3 linked regions of the Sus scrofa genome follow. The protein of the gene in region 3 binds, or shares a complex with, the protein of the main gene of each other region. Links are inferred from orthologs where the notes say so. Each region holds a gene or a part of one and is shown on either strand. Other genes may lie near its edges.

The links. The genes of interacting proteins can lie anywhere in the genome.
Region 1: the proteins of CRHR2 (region 3) and GNB1 are in contact, whole or in part, in a cryo-EM structure (PDB 6PB1), measured with the Homo sapiens proteins. The link is inferred for Sus scrofa from reciprocal best matches to the Homo sapiens genes CRHR2 and GNB1. Residues at the interface, in NP_001874.2 of Homo sapiens: Arg142, Ser143, Lys372, Arg376, Asp379, His380, Ser382, Val385; in NP_001269468.1 of Homo sapiens: Arg42, Gln44, Arg46, Arg52, Phe292, Val307, Ala309, Gly310, His311, Asp312.
Region 2: the proteins of CRHR2 (region 3) and UCN are in contact, whole or in part, in a cryo-EM structure (PDB 7TS0), measured with the Homo sapiens proteins. The link is inferred for Sus scrofa from reciprocal best matches to the Homo sapiens genes CRHR2 and UCN. Residues at the interface, in NP_001874.2 of Homo sapiens: Phe68, Asn69, Gly70, Val71, Tyr73, Ile101, Leu102, Asp103, Asp104, Arg107, Asp110, Tyr113, Leu117, Asn120, Trp166, Leu169, Gln170, Val172, Asp173, His174, His177, Glu178, Thr188, Phe191, Asn192, Phe199, Phe256, Gly257, Lys258, Asp265; in NP_003344.1 of Homo sapiens: Asn84, Pro85, Ser86, Leu87, Ser88, Ile89, Asp90, Leu91, Thr92, Phe93, His94, Leu95, Leu96, Arg97, Thr98, Leu99, Leu100, Leu102, Arg104, Thr105, Ser107, Gln108, Arg111, Ala112, Asn115, Phe119.

Annotation. Positions count from the first base shown.
Region 1 is NC_010448.4:63,954,715-63,958,788, reverse strand, and holds the start of GNB1 (guanine nucleotide-binding protein G(I)/G(S)/G(T) subunit beta-1), read left to right. Parts: upstream 1-1,274; 5' UTR 1,275-1,296; intron 1,297-1,337; exon of another isoform or gene 1,338-1,359; intron 1,360-4,074. UniProt on the Homo sapiens protein: Guanine nucleotide-binding proteins (G proteins) are involved as a modulator or transducer in various transmembrane signaling systems.
Region 2 is NC_010445.4:111,832,861-111,836,432, forward strand, and holds UCN (urocortin), read left to right. Parts: upstream 1-1,221; 5' UTR 1,222-2,007; intron 2,008-2,251; 5' UTR 2,252-2,264; coding exon 2,265-2,648; 3' UTR 2,649-3,072; downstream 3,073-3,572. Other genes in the region: protein Mpv17, read left to right, coding at 98-167. UniProt on the Homo sapiens protein: Acts in vitro to stimulate the secretion of adrenocorticotropic hormone (ACTH). Binds with high affinity to CRF receptor types 1, 2-alpha, and 2-beta. Plays a role in the establishment of normal hearing thresholds.
Region 3 is NC_010460.4:42,250,494-42,254,665, reverse strand, and holds the start of CRHR2 (corticotropin-releasing factor receptor 2), read right to left. Parts: upstream 2,912-4,172; 5' UTR 2,833-2,911; coding exon 2,746-2,832; intron 1-2,745. UniProt on the Homo sapiens protein: G-protein coupled receptor for CRH (corticotropin-releasing factor), UCN (urocortin), UCN2 and UCN3. Has high affinity for UCN.

The DNA of each region.
Region 1 (4,074 bases), on a different chromosome or scaffold from region 3:
CCTTCCTGCCAAGCACTCTGGGGGCTGGGCTATGCCCCCGTGTCAACACCTGGGTGGCCTGGGGGGGCAGGTGTCCTGCGGCGGTTCACGACACGGTATGGCATGTAATGTGGCCTGGCAGTGGTCCCGAAGCGGGAGGGCAGCTCTGGGCCTGGCGGCCTTGCGGACCCACATCCCTTCCCGTCTGCTCAGTGGCTGCCTGCCTGCAGGAAATGGCCCTGGGAGGCGACTTCGTATCAGGTGACCCCAGGCCAGCTTCCTGGCCTGAGCACCAGTCAGGCTCTGGGGCCTCCCCAGGCGGCCCCTGCTGTCTGGACAGGGCAGTGCGCCACAGGCAGCCCCTGCGCCGTCGCCCGGCTCCCTCCCCGCCGCTGAGGTCACAGGTGCAAGCTCTTTATCTGGCAGGTGCTGGCGGAGCCGAGTCCCACGGCTCCACCTGCGGGGAGAGGCATCCCTAGAACAGCAGGAGCAGCCTCCCCTAAGCAGTGGGAGGTGGGGCTGGGTCCAGCGGCCTGCCAGCAGCGCCCTCCCCTCCCAATGGTTCCTGTAGCTACCCGCCCCAGCCCCCAGCCCCTGCCCCTGTCTGCAGCGGCCCGGGCCTCCCCTACTCTGCCGCTGCAGGTGCAGGCAGAACCCTCTGTCAAGCCAGCCTGCTGCCCGGGTACGCTGGGCCAGCGAGGGTTGGGTCCCAGCTTCCTGGCAACAGGGACTCCTCCCTGAGTCTGTGCCCAGGCCTCTAGGTGGCACCTGAGGCCGGGCTGGGGAGAAGGGGGTGGGGGGCCCCAGGGCCCGCCCTCCCCGCGGCCCCGCCCCCGCCCTCCCCGCGGCCCCGCCCCCGCCCCCCGCCCCCCCATCGTCCCCCCCGCTGCGCTGGCGCGGGGGTCTCTGCCTCCCGCCCTCCGTCCTGGTCTCCGCGCTCCCGCCCGGCCCGGGATGTGCGAGGGCGTTTCTGGCGGCTGCACTCCGGACTGGGCGGGCGGCGGCGGCCTGGCCTTGTGCAGGCAGCTGGGGGAAGCGCCGGCGCCGAACAATTGCGGCCTCCCTGCCAAGGGCGCCGCCCAGCCCGGGAGAGGAAATGGGGCTGGGGGCTGGGCGGGCGGCCGCGCTGGCTGCCCCTCGGGGCGCCCTCGGTGCCCGCCTGAGAGGCCCTGGAGCCGCTGCGGGGGCGGGCGGAGCAGACCTGCCGCCCTCCGCCCTGCGTGCCGGCTCTGCCCCCAGCATCCGGTTTCAGGCGGAGCTGCCCAGCCTCGGCGGGGGAGCCAGAACCCGGCCCTGAGGGCCTTGGACCGGCGGCAGGTCGGCCTGGGGGCCGCCCCACTGCCTTTTCCCTGTCCCGAAGCCTCCCCTCCTGACGGCCAGGTGACAGCCCTTCCTCTGCTCGGGTCGTGCCAGCAGGGCCCGTGGGCCCCCAGAGCCTGCCTCCAGGGCTGCGGGAAAGCCGAGCCCAGGCCTCTCAGAACCATGCTGGGGTCTCGGGTGCACGTGGCTGCGAAGCTGGGGGCAGGAGGCTGGCCCAGCAGGAGCCCCAGCGGCCTGGCTGCATCCGGCTGAGCCTGAGGCCCAGGGTCTGCTCATTCCCTGAGCCTGTCATCACCCCTTTACAGATGAGCTGGTTAAGCTGCTACCCTGAGTGCTGGCTGCTCCAACTTGTGTGTGTGTGTGTGTGTGTGGTGTATGGCATGTGGTGTGCAGTGTGGGGTGTGTGTGGTATGGTATGTGGTGTATGTGGGGTGTGTGTATGTGGGTTTTGATGTGTGTGTTGTGTGTGGGGGGGTATGTGGCATGTGTGGTATGTGGCGTATGTGGTGTGTGTGTGTTGTGGGGGGGGTGTGGTATGTGGGGGGTGTGGTATGGGGGGGTGGCGTGTGGTAGGTGGTGTGTGTCCAGGCAGGACACTGAAAAGCCCCCGTGGAGGTTTGCTGGAGGCGGGCTTTCCAACCCCGCAGTCAGGGTTCTGCAGCAGAGGGGCTGCTGCTCCTCAGGGACCCCCAGAGCAGAGTGGCCCCCTGTCGGGCCCCCACTGAGGCCACCTGGTCCCGGGTTCTAGCCCACCTAGGACTGCCCCTCTGGGAGTGGCCCGGAGGCTGCTTGGACCTCCCTAGGGTGTCGGCCCCAAATCTGGGGGGGGGGGACAAGCTGCCCACCCCGGGGCAGCCCCTCCTCCAACCCCACGTGGCACTCCCAAAGCCCCATGGCCATGGCCCCCCCACGTTTTGGTGTCCCCCACGAGGGATGACTGGTTCAGGACCAAAGGTGGGTACAGGCTTGAAGGTCAGCATGATGGGGGGCTTGGGGACAAGGGACATGTCATGCCCTTGGAGAGAGAGGGGCTGCTGCTTCCACTGCCCAGGGGAAGGTGTGCAGAGGTCCTTCTAGGTCGGCTGGCGGCCAGGGGGCCCAGGCCATCCCCCTTCCCAAGGCGGATGCAGTGCCCTCTGCCTGCCACACCAGTCCTGGGCTCTGGGGCCCTGACTACCCTGGCCACGTCCACCTCGGCCTGGCCCCTTCCTGGGCTCTGAGGCTGCCTGCCCTGGGGTCTGCTTGACTGTCACCTCCCTGGGCACCCCCCATCGAACTGTGCCCCTGCTCTCCCGTGCCCCCAACAGGCCTGCCCCTGCCAGGGAGCCATGGGTGGGTGCGCCACCCAGGGAGTTGTGCTGAGAGAAGGACCGGGAGCCTCCTGGCTGTGTGGCCCGTTCTACTGGCCAAGCCTGCCTCTGGAGGCCCACGGGAACTCGGGCTCTGATCACCTACCTTCCGCCCAGCCCCCTTCCTCGTCCTCGCCCTCGTACTCCAGGGCCTGGAGGCGCACTTACTGGAAGCAAGGTTAGGATGGCCCTGGGTGGAGAAGCAGACGCTGCTCAGTGGGACAAGACAGATGCTGTGGGCACCGCCCCCTGCAGCTCTGAGACCCTAAAAGCCTGGCTTGGAGCGTGGCCCCCGGGAGGGGGTCCTGGCCTTGTGCACAGATTGTTTGAATAATTCAGATTTAAGAGACCTACTTTCCCGTCAGAGCTCTTCCTGCTGCAGAGCAGATGGGGCAGGGGCATCTGAATTATGCATTCTGCTCCCCAGGTTTTTAGTGAGGGCTGGGCACCAAGCCAGGCACTGTCCCCTCAGGCCCAGCTGGCCGGGCCCTTGCTGAGTAGGCTGAACGGACCACAGGCTGGTCTCAGAGCCATTTGTCTAGAGAGCCAGGGTTCTCTGCGGGGGTCAGGAGAAGCCTGGGCTCCTGGCTGGGCGCAAGCTCTGCCTGAAAGCACCCTGACTGACACCCCACCGAGGAGCGTGCTGGGTCGCAGGTAGGGGCCAAGAACAGCCAGAGGCCTGGAGGGTGGGGCAGGGAGAGCCGGGGCCCCAGAGCCTCCTCCAGACCCTTGAGGTCATGGGGCCCCAGCCAGCCAGAAACCAGAAGCTGTCATGGGCTCCTGAGAGCGGACCAAGGCCCCAGGCAGGTGTCTAGGGCTCTGACACCTGGGGACCCTGACACCTGGGGGCCAGATGCGGATGAGGCCTCAGGCTGCTAGGGAACTGGGAATAAAGGCCCAGGGTCCCCTGTTCCTTCCTGGCTTCCCCTCAACTTTGCCCCTCACACCCAGTCCATAAACACATAAACAGGATTCCAGGCCCTGGCCACAGGGCAAGGCCCTGCCACGCCCTGCAGATTAGCTAGGGGCCACAAGGCTGCACCCCAAGGTCTTAGAGAGCTGGGCAGGCTCCGGCCTGGGGTCCTCGTGCTTGGCCTTGCCCTGCAGCCCTGCTGGAACGGGGAATGGGCCTGGCCAGGCCAGTGGTAGCCTGAGGCATGGGGAGCCCTGGGCCTACCCTGCCAGGCCTCCTGCTGCCAAGTCAGGCCAGCTCTCAGGTGGGCATGCAGGGACCCAGAATGGCAGAAGGGTCCTGAGGGCCCCTCAGGTCTCCTGCCACCCCCACAACCGCAGAGCTGCCCCATAGAGACCGCTTGCCCAGGGCCCTCCTCTGCTCTGCTGCTGGGCCTGCCCCTCCACCTTCACATCTCTCCTCCTCTTCCCTCTTCTCCCTCCTTCCCCCTTTCTCCTCACTTTCCCTCCCCCC
Region 2 (3,572 bases), on a different chromosome or scaffold from region 3:
GAGATAATCCCTGTCTTCCCGCTGCCCTTTCCCATCTCACCCCCCTTGCCTGCCCCTTCTTTTTCCTCTTCTTCATGATGCCATCCCTGTTCTGTAGGTTGGCCGTCGTCCAGTGTGTTGCTGTTATCTGGAACTCCTACCTGTCCTGGAAGGCACATCGGCTCTAAGCCTGCCTCCCTCCCTCGCTTGCCTTGCAGTCATTCAGCTTGACCCTGGGAGGTCCGACCACCTCTTAAAGTGGGCACATCGGTTTTCACAGGGTTTGGTGGCTGGTCAGAACTTGATGGAGTTAGCCCTCTGAAATGCCCATTTCACTCTAAAACGTAACCTGACTCCTGTGAAATCACTAAAACCTTTATAATGGCTTTATACCCACCGCATAGTAGGCATCCCATAAATATTTATTGAACCATATGGTTTTGTCAACTTTAGCTTATACCCACATCCCAGTAAATGTCACTCATTCCTCCTTTTCATAGACACATCTGTTTTCCAAACCCTTCCCAGCCTTAGTGTAGCTCTAGTTTTGGAGGGACCACCCCCTTGAACCCTTTATATGGTGCCTCTGTAAATGTTACTAAGTAGATAACCTGGAACCTGCAGAAGCAATAAGACCCAGCAAAAAACTGCTGAGGGGGGGCTACATTTTCTAGAGCTTGGAAAGAAGCCTGGAGACCACCAAGCCCAATCTTCTTTTACAGATGAGGACACTGAGGCCCGTAGAAGTGAGGTGACCTGTCCATGCTGAGTTAGTGGCAGAGTAGAAACTTGAACCCACAAGGTATAGTCCGAATGTCTGTGTACTCCCCAAGTTCATATGGTGAAAACCTAATGCCCAAGGTTGTGGTATTAGGAGGTGGGGCTTTGGGGAAGTGGTTCTGTCAGGAGGGCTGAGCCCTCATGGGATCAGGATGCTTACAAAAGAGGCTATGCGAGCACATGGCAAGAAGGTGCTATCTCTGAGCCAGAAAGCATGTCCTCACCAGACACCAAACCCAGTGGCACCATGATCTTGGACTTCCCAGCCCGCCAGAACTGTAAGAAATAAATATTTGTTGCTTATAAGCCACCCAGTTTATGGTAACTTTTGTTAAAGCAGCTCAGACTAAGATGCCAAGTTTTCTTCCTACCCAGCGATCTTAACTGGGAGGTCAAAGATAAAGTAATAACTACTGCTGCTGTGATTCCCAGGAGGAAAATTAACTTGGCTAAACTCCCACTTTGGAGCTAACCCAGAAGCAGATGGACCAGCCTTTTGTTGCCCGGAAGCACCCTGAGTCCAGAGGCCCTTTTTTTTTTTTTTTTTTTTTTTTTTTTAATGGTGCCTCAGTCAGACAGCCCTAGAATTTAGATCCTGGGGCCAGAATAAGATCAAGAATCCTGGCAGCTCAAGCTGCCTCAGCTGCCCCTTGGGTGGGTACCATGGCCATAGCTGAGTGCCAGTGGTGCTGTCCCAACTGGCTCTGTTTACAGAACTGATAGCTGGAGCCAGGGACTGGGTCTGAGCAGCGTTTTCCCTACCCCTCTGGCCCCTTCTAGAGGCTGAGGACAAGGTCAGCACCACGGACAGCCCCAAGGTCCAGCCTGCCTTTCAAGTGCCTGAGAAGAGATCTGGACTAGTCTGGTCTGGGGACCCGCCTCTCGTCCCTGCTGGCTATCCTAAGTGGTTGAAGGGCTTCTGTGTCTCCCAGAGCAATCTTTATGCCCCAACCCGGCTTCTCACTTTCTTGAGTCGGGTGTCACTTCCAGCCATGCCAAGTCCAGTGCCCTGAGGTGCGCCTGCTCGGGGTCTCGCAGCCGCTATAGGTCGGACTTGAAGCCGCGGCCGTCATTGCTCTACAATCAGTGCATGTTCCTTGCTGACGTCATTCGGTGCTGTCCTGGCGCTATATAAGGCTGGCGGCGGTCCCGGGACAGACCCCGTGTTCCCCAAGGCGCCCTCAGCCCGCCCCGAGGGACAGAGACTGGAGCTTGGTCCTGCACGGAGCAGACGCTCTCCCGCAAACTGTGAGTGGCTCTGAGCATCCGCCCAGCTTCCCTCAGCACCGGGACAGCGCTCAAATCACCCACCACCAAGAGGGAGGGAGGAAAGGGTGGCAGCGGCTGGGGCTGGAGGGAAGGCTGCGGGCTCCGGGCAGCAGTCGCAGGGGCTCGCTAGGGAAGGGACGCTGGACGTGCGCGGGAAGGGGAGTGGTGCCACCTGCGACTGTCCCAGACGCACCTCACCCCCGCGCTGCCTCTGTGTGTCCAGGGCCGGTGGCACCATGAGGCCGGCGGGACTTGCTGCGCTGCTGGCGGCCCTTCTGCTTCTGGCACAGCTGCGTCCGGGGAGCAGCCAGTGGAGCCCAGAGGCGGCCGTGGCCGGGGTCCAGGACCCGAGTCTGCGCTGGAGTCCCAGGACGCAGAAGCACGGCGGCAGCGGGGCCCGCGCCCTCCTCTTGTTGCTGGCCGAGCGCTTCCCACGCCGCGCAGGGCAGGGCCGGTGGGGATCCGGGGCCGCAAGTGAGCGGCCGCGACGGGACGACCCTCCGCTGTCCATTGACCTCACCTTCCACCTGCTGCGGACCCTGCTGGAGCTGGCGCGGACGCAGAGCCAGCGGGAGCGCGCCGAGCAGAACCGCATCATATTCGACTCGGTGGGCAAGTGATCATCTGGGTCTGGGGCCTGAAACCCTCGACCTGCATCCCCACCCCCAGGCTGGGCGTGAGGGACTGGAACTGACCTAGTCCCGCGCGGCTAGAGCGGCCTAGAGATGCCCTGAGCACTCCCCACGATACTAGTTTTTAATAAAAGTGCTGAAGAGCCGTTGGCCTCTGTTTGGGGGCTCAGGGAACCACAGCAGGGTGGGAACCTGTGGGAAAGTGGGGCCGCCCAGACCGGAGAGAGGGAACCGGGTACTGCTGGAGGGCTCCGGGAGGACGGCTTTCAGCCAGGTTCCTGTGGTCCCCATGTCCCCAAGTCTCCTAGGAACTCAAGCCCCAGTACCGCCGCATCCCCACCCCACCCTCTTCCGTTGGCACTGGGCTCGCGAATCTGTGCCTGATATCAAGGAGATGCCCAATAGGGGTTCATTCCACTTCTGCTCCCCAAATGGTCCCAGATTTGGAGAGGGCGGGAGGTGATGCGAACGTCTCCGAGGCTGAGAGAGTGAGCAGCGAAAGGAGCGCGGGTGGGGACGCATTAGCTCTTTATTGAGCCCCTCCCCCGCGGCGGGGCGCCGAGCTGGGTGGCGCGGTGGTCTCCGTTCAGATCCTTCACCACCCGAAAGTCAGGCTCCCCAACAGGGGCGGGTCAGTGCAGTCCTGCGCCCGGAAAAGAAAGCTCCATGGGCAGGCGCTCCAAAGGAACAGGGCAACTCCGAAACACAGCTGAATCCCTTTCCCCAGCCAGGAAAGCCTCTCCTCCACTTTCCCGTCCAACCTGGCCTTCCAAACCCCAGGGAATGAATGGTGGGCAAGGAAGTTGTACTTCAGCCCGCGCGCTAGGGGGCGTGTCCCGTGGGGGCCACGCGCGATCCCTGATGCCGCAGAGAGGGCAGTGGCCGGAGGAGAGGGCAGGAGCGGAGCAGCCA
Region 3 (4,172 bases):
CATGTGCCGCGGGTGTGGCCCTAAAAAGACAAAAAAAAAAAAACAAAACCAAAAAACCAAAATAATGGAAACGGACTCACAGACTTTGAAAACAAACTTATGGTTACTAAAGGGAAAACCTGGGGGAGGAGGGGTAGATTAGGAATTGGGGATTAACATCTACTCGCTACCATATATAAAACAGATAATCAACAAGGACCTACTGTAGAGCACAGAGAACCCAACTCAATATTCTGAAATAACCTATGTGGGAAAAGAATCTGAAAAAGAATGGATATATGTATGTGTAGAACTGAACCACTTTGCTGTACACCTGCCCCTACCCTAACACAACACTGTAAGGCAACTATATGCCAATATAAAATAAAAATTAAATTAAAAAAAAAAGAAGTCCCATCCCACCAGGACCCACCCTGCCCCTGGAGCCTCACAGCATCTCTTCTCAGGGCTGGGACTGCGGCCCTCCCCCAGCTTGCTCAGGACACCCCATCTCCACCTCTGCCATCCTGCCCACTTCCCAGCAGACTTCCTCCCAATCCAGGCAGAGGCTCTCACACCTGCACACAGCTGCTCTTAGTTCCCATGACCAGAGCTTGTAAATGTACACAGTTCTTCACATTCATTTTTTCCTGCCAGCGTCTCCTCCAGGCTATCAACTCCACAGGGCAGGGGGTGGGGTGGGGGGGTGGGCTGCTGTTTTCTCCCTTGTGTCTTTACCATGCACGATCCTCTTTAACTACTGGCTGAATCAAGTATTACTGAATAAATAAAAGGGCTGGAGGCCAGCCCCCGCTCTCACCCTGCCCCGGGTCACCTCCCTTCCCCATCACCCACTCAGGTCACTTACTTTCATTTCAGAAATCTCAGAATAGTTGGATGACGACCCAGGAATAAACCCTGTTACCACGAAGACCCAGAGCAAAGACGCCTGCATTTGGGGGCCAGAGACACTACGTTCCTCTCTAGCTGGTTGCGTCCTGAGGAACTTGGGGTGAATCACTAGTCTCCGGTCTCAGGCTGTCCAGGGAGGGTTGGGGGCAGGCCCTGGGCTGACTCTAAGGGGAGAGGAGGCTGTTGCCTCTGAGGTACCCAGGGTACCCTCCCCCAGACCCCTCCACCTGGCCAGGCTCTGGGGCAGCAACCAGAAGCCTTCTCCCTCGAACCAGCTTGGGCAGTTGGCATCACAATCCACAGAGGGGAGGGCCGAGGGGCAAGCCTGGCCCTAACAGCAGCCCTCTTGGAAGGCACCTATCCTGGGAACAAGTGGGTGGGGACCAGAAGAGCTCAGAGCCCAAGACAGGGGGAGTGGGAGGTGAGGGGGTGGGGGGGGGCACTGAGCTCACTCCACAGCCTCCATGCCACCCAAATGCAGCCTGCAATGTTATTAAGAGGACCTGGCATGTCTAGGAGCCACTGGGCCATCTGCCCATTGGGGTACTGACCACACCTCACATGGTGCCCACTCCTCCTCTCCACTTGACCAGACCCCCTGGGAGGGCAGGGCCCCCCCGTGTCTTCATCTCTAGTACCTGGCACAGAACTACAGCTGCATTTATTGAGCGTTTACTCTGTGCCAGGCACGGTGCTCGGAGCTTTCCTTCCTCGTGACAACCCTATTCAGGAAGCACCCAAATCATCCTCGTTTTACCCGGAGGAAACTGAGGCTGAGGAAATTTGAGTAGCCTGTCCAAGGTCACCCACTCAGCACAAAGCGGGGCTTTGAATCAGGTTGTTGGCAAAGCCGCTCTGCCACGGACAGTGGGCGCTCACTATCTAGCTGTTGAATGAGATGAGGGCTAAACGGAGGAGTCCTCTGTGTACATGTGGGGACAGGAGCAGGCCTGCTGGCCTCCAGCCTGGCTCTGTCCCTTGCACCGTATGGCCTCTGAATCCTTCTGATGTCGTGGTTCTTCATGAAAAGTGTGGCCTGGGACAGATCACCCTCCCTCTCTGAGCCTCAGTTTCCCCATCTGTAAAATGGGGAGAGGATTAGAGGTAGATTCCTCCTGTATCCAGTTCTGAAACTTGCTCCCTCCTGGCCTCACCCCCTCTTCTCCAGAGCGTTCTGTGCAGCTCCTTCTCCATCCCTTCATCCCTGGCCAATGGGTACCAGGTGGGGGTTGGGGGGACACCCACAGCTTTGAGAAACCTCTAGCAAGGTTGGTTTGCCCAAGCGCCCCCCGGCACCGTTGCTCATTTGCTACTAAGGGCTTCCTGGTTTCAGGTGCAGAGAGGAGGGTGGGGACAGGGCTGCGGGGGTTGGGGGGCAGCTCTCTGGTGGTCCTTTGCAGGGAACGGCCAGAACTGTCATGGGGTGAGGAAGGGACTGACGCTCCCGCAAGGGAGATGGAGTGGGATCCATGGGGAGGAGACAGGTGGACAGGGGATAGAGAATTTCTGGACCTGAGGCAGGGCATGCCCCAGACACTAGTGCGGCCCCAGAACGTTCTGCTCAGCCACAAGGGCTTCGGGGTCTCATCCCAGCTAGTGCGAAAAGTTTCATCTCCCCTCCACCTGCCCCTCACCCAGGGAGGACATCTCTAGTCCATCCCCGGATGCAGGGCTGCCCAACCCCATCCCGGCCACCGAGCCCTGAGACCTCCTCCACCCAGCTCCTAACAGGGTCGAGGAAACTGGGCCCAGGAACCAGCAGTGAGACCCCCTACGGCCTCGCGGTCAGGAGAGCACGGAGCTCCAGCTCCCGGCGCCCCCACCCTGAGAACAGACCCTCACTCCCGCACTTACTTTGAGCAGCGGCGGGAGGAGGCAGAGCAGGCAGAGGAGCGAGCGTGGGGCGAGGAGGAGGCGAGGGGGCCCCGTGGGACCCCCCATGCCCTCAGCGGCTGCTGACAGGAGCGCACCTCCAGCACAGCGGGCCCGCCCCGCCCGCTGCCCTCCCTCCCCCCTCCCCCTTCCCCTTCCCCCTCCCCCTCCCGCCTCCCCCGGTCGGAGCTGTGTCGGCCCCTCCCTCCCCACCGCGCCAGGCGGCCAAGGTAAGGCCTTGACCACTGGGGCAATCTCCCCACCTCCCTGGGCTGCAGTGACACCGCCCCGCAGCCCGCCCCCTCCAGGTTATTTATAACGGTGCCCCGCAGCAGCTTCTGCCCAAGCGGCCAGGGGCCAGACTGCCTCCAGCCTGCAGAAAGGGGTTAATGCCTCTTAGCGGCTGGCCAGCCACCTTTGCCAGGGCTGTAGCTACCCACGCCGGGGAGAGAGGAATTGAGAAAGGGAGGAGGAGTCTCGGCTGTGGTTGTGGCCAGAGCACACAGTGCCCCCGGGGCGGATCTCATCCCCTGCCAAGCTTTCCAGCCCTGCAGGCATCTTCCAATCGCCGGGAGTTTTTACCAGGCACCACTGCCTCTTGGGACAATTGAAATTTGATCTTGGAGGCCAGACTAAATAATAGTTTTGTATCCATGTTCAATTCCTGATTTCGATAACTGCATATTCTTAGGGAATATTTTTTAGACTAAAGGAAGACAATATAGCGAACTTATTTTCAGATGGTTCAGAAATACACACAGGAGTTCCCACTGTGGCTCAGCAGGTTAAGAACCTGATTAGTATCCGTGAGGATGCAGGTCCATCCCTGGCCCTGCTCAGTAGCTTAAGGATTCAGTGTTGCCACAAGCTGCGGTGTAGGTCAGAGATGTGGCTCAGATCCCATGTTGCTGTGGCTGTGGTGTAGACCTGCAACTGGCAGTTCAGATTTGACCCCTGGCCTGGGAACTTCCATGTGCTGCACGTATGGCCCTAAAAAAAAAAAAAGAAAAAGAAAGAAAGACACACACACAGCGCATACCACACACAGACATGTAGATGAGAGAGAGAAGACAAGAAAACAGATAAGATAAAATTAAATAACTGGTAATGTGGGCAAAGGGTATGTGGGTATACTCTGGATCTTTCTTCCAACTTCTCTGTAAGTTTGAAATAATATGCTAACAATATATTTGAAAAAAAAGCAAAAAACAACCACAACAAATGCAGCAATGCCAGGCCCCACCCAGAAGTTCTGATGATGTAGGTTGGGATGGGGCCCTGGCATTGGGAAGTTTCTGTACATTTCACAGGGATCCGAATATGGGGCAGTGCTGAGCAGCGTCCTCTCAGGAACAGGTCCAGCCTGGGGCTGGGTCAGGCTCAGGAGGTGTGGCCTCTTCTCTGGGAGC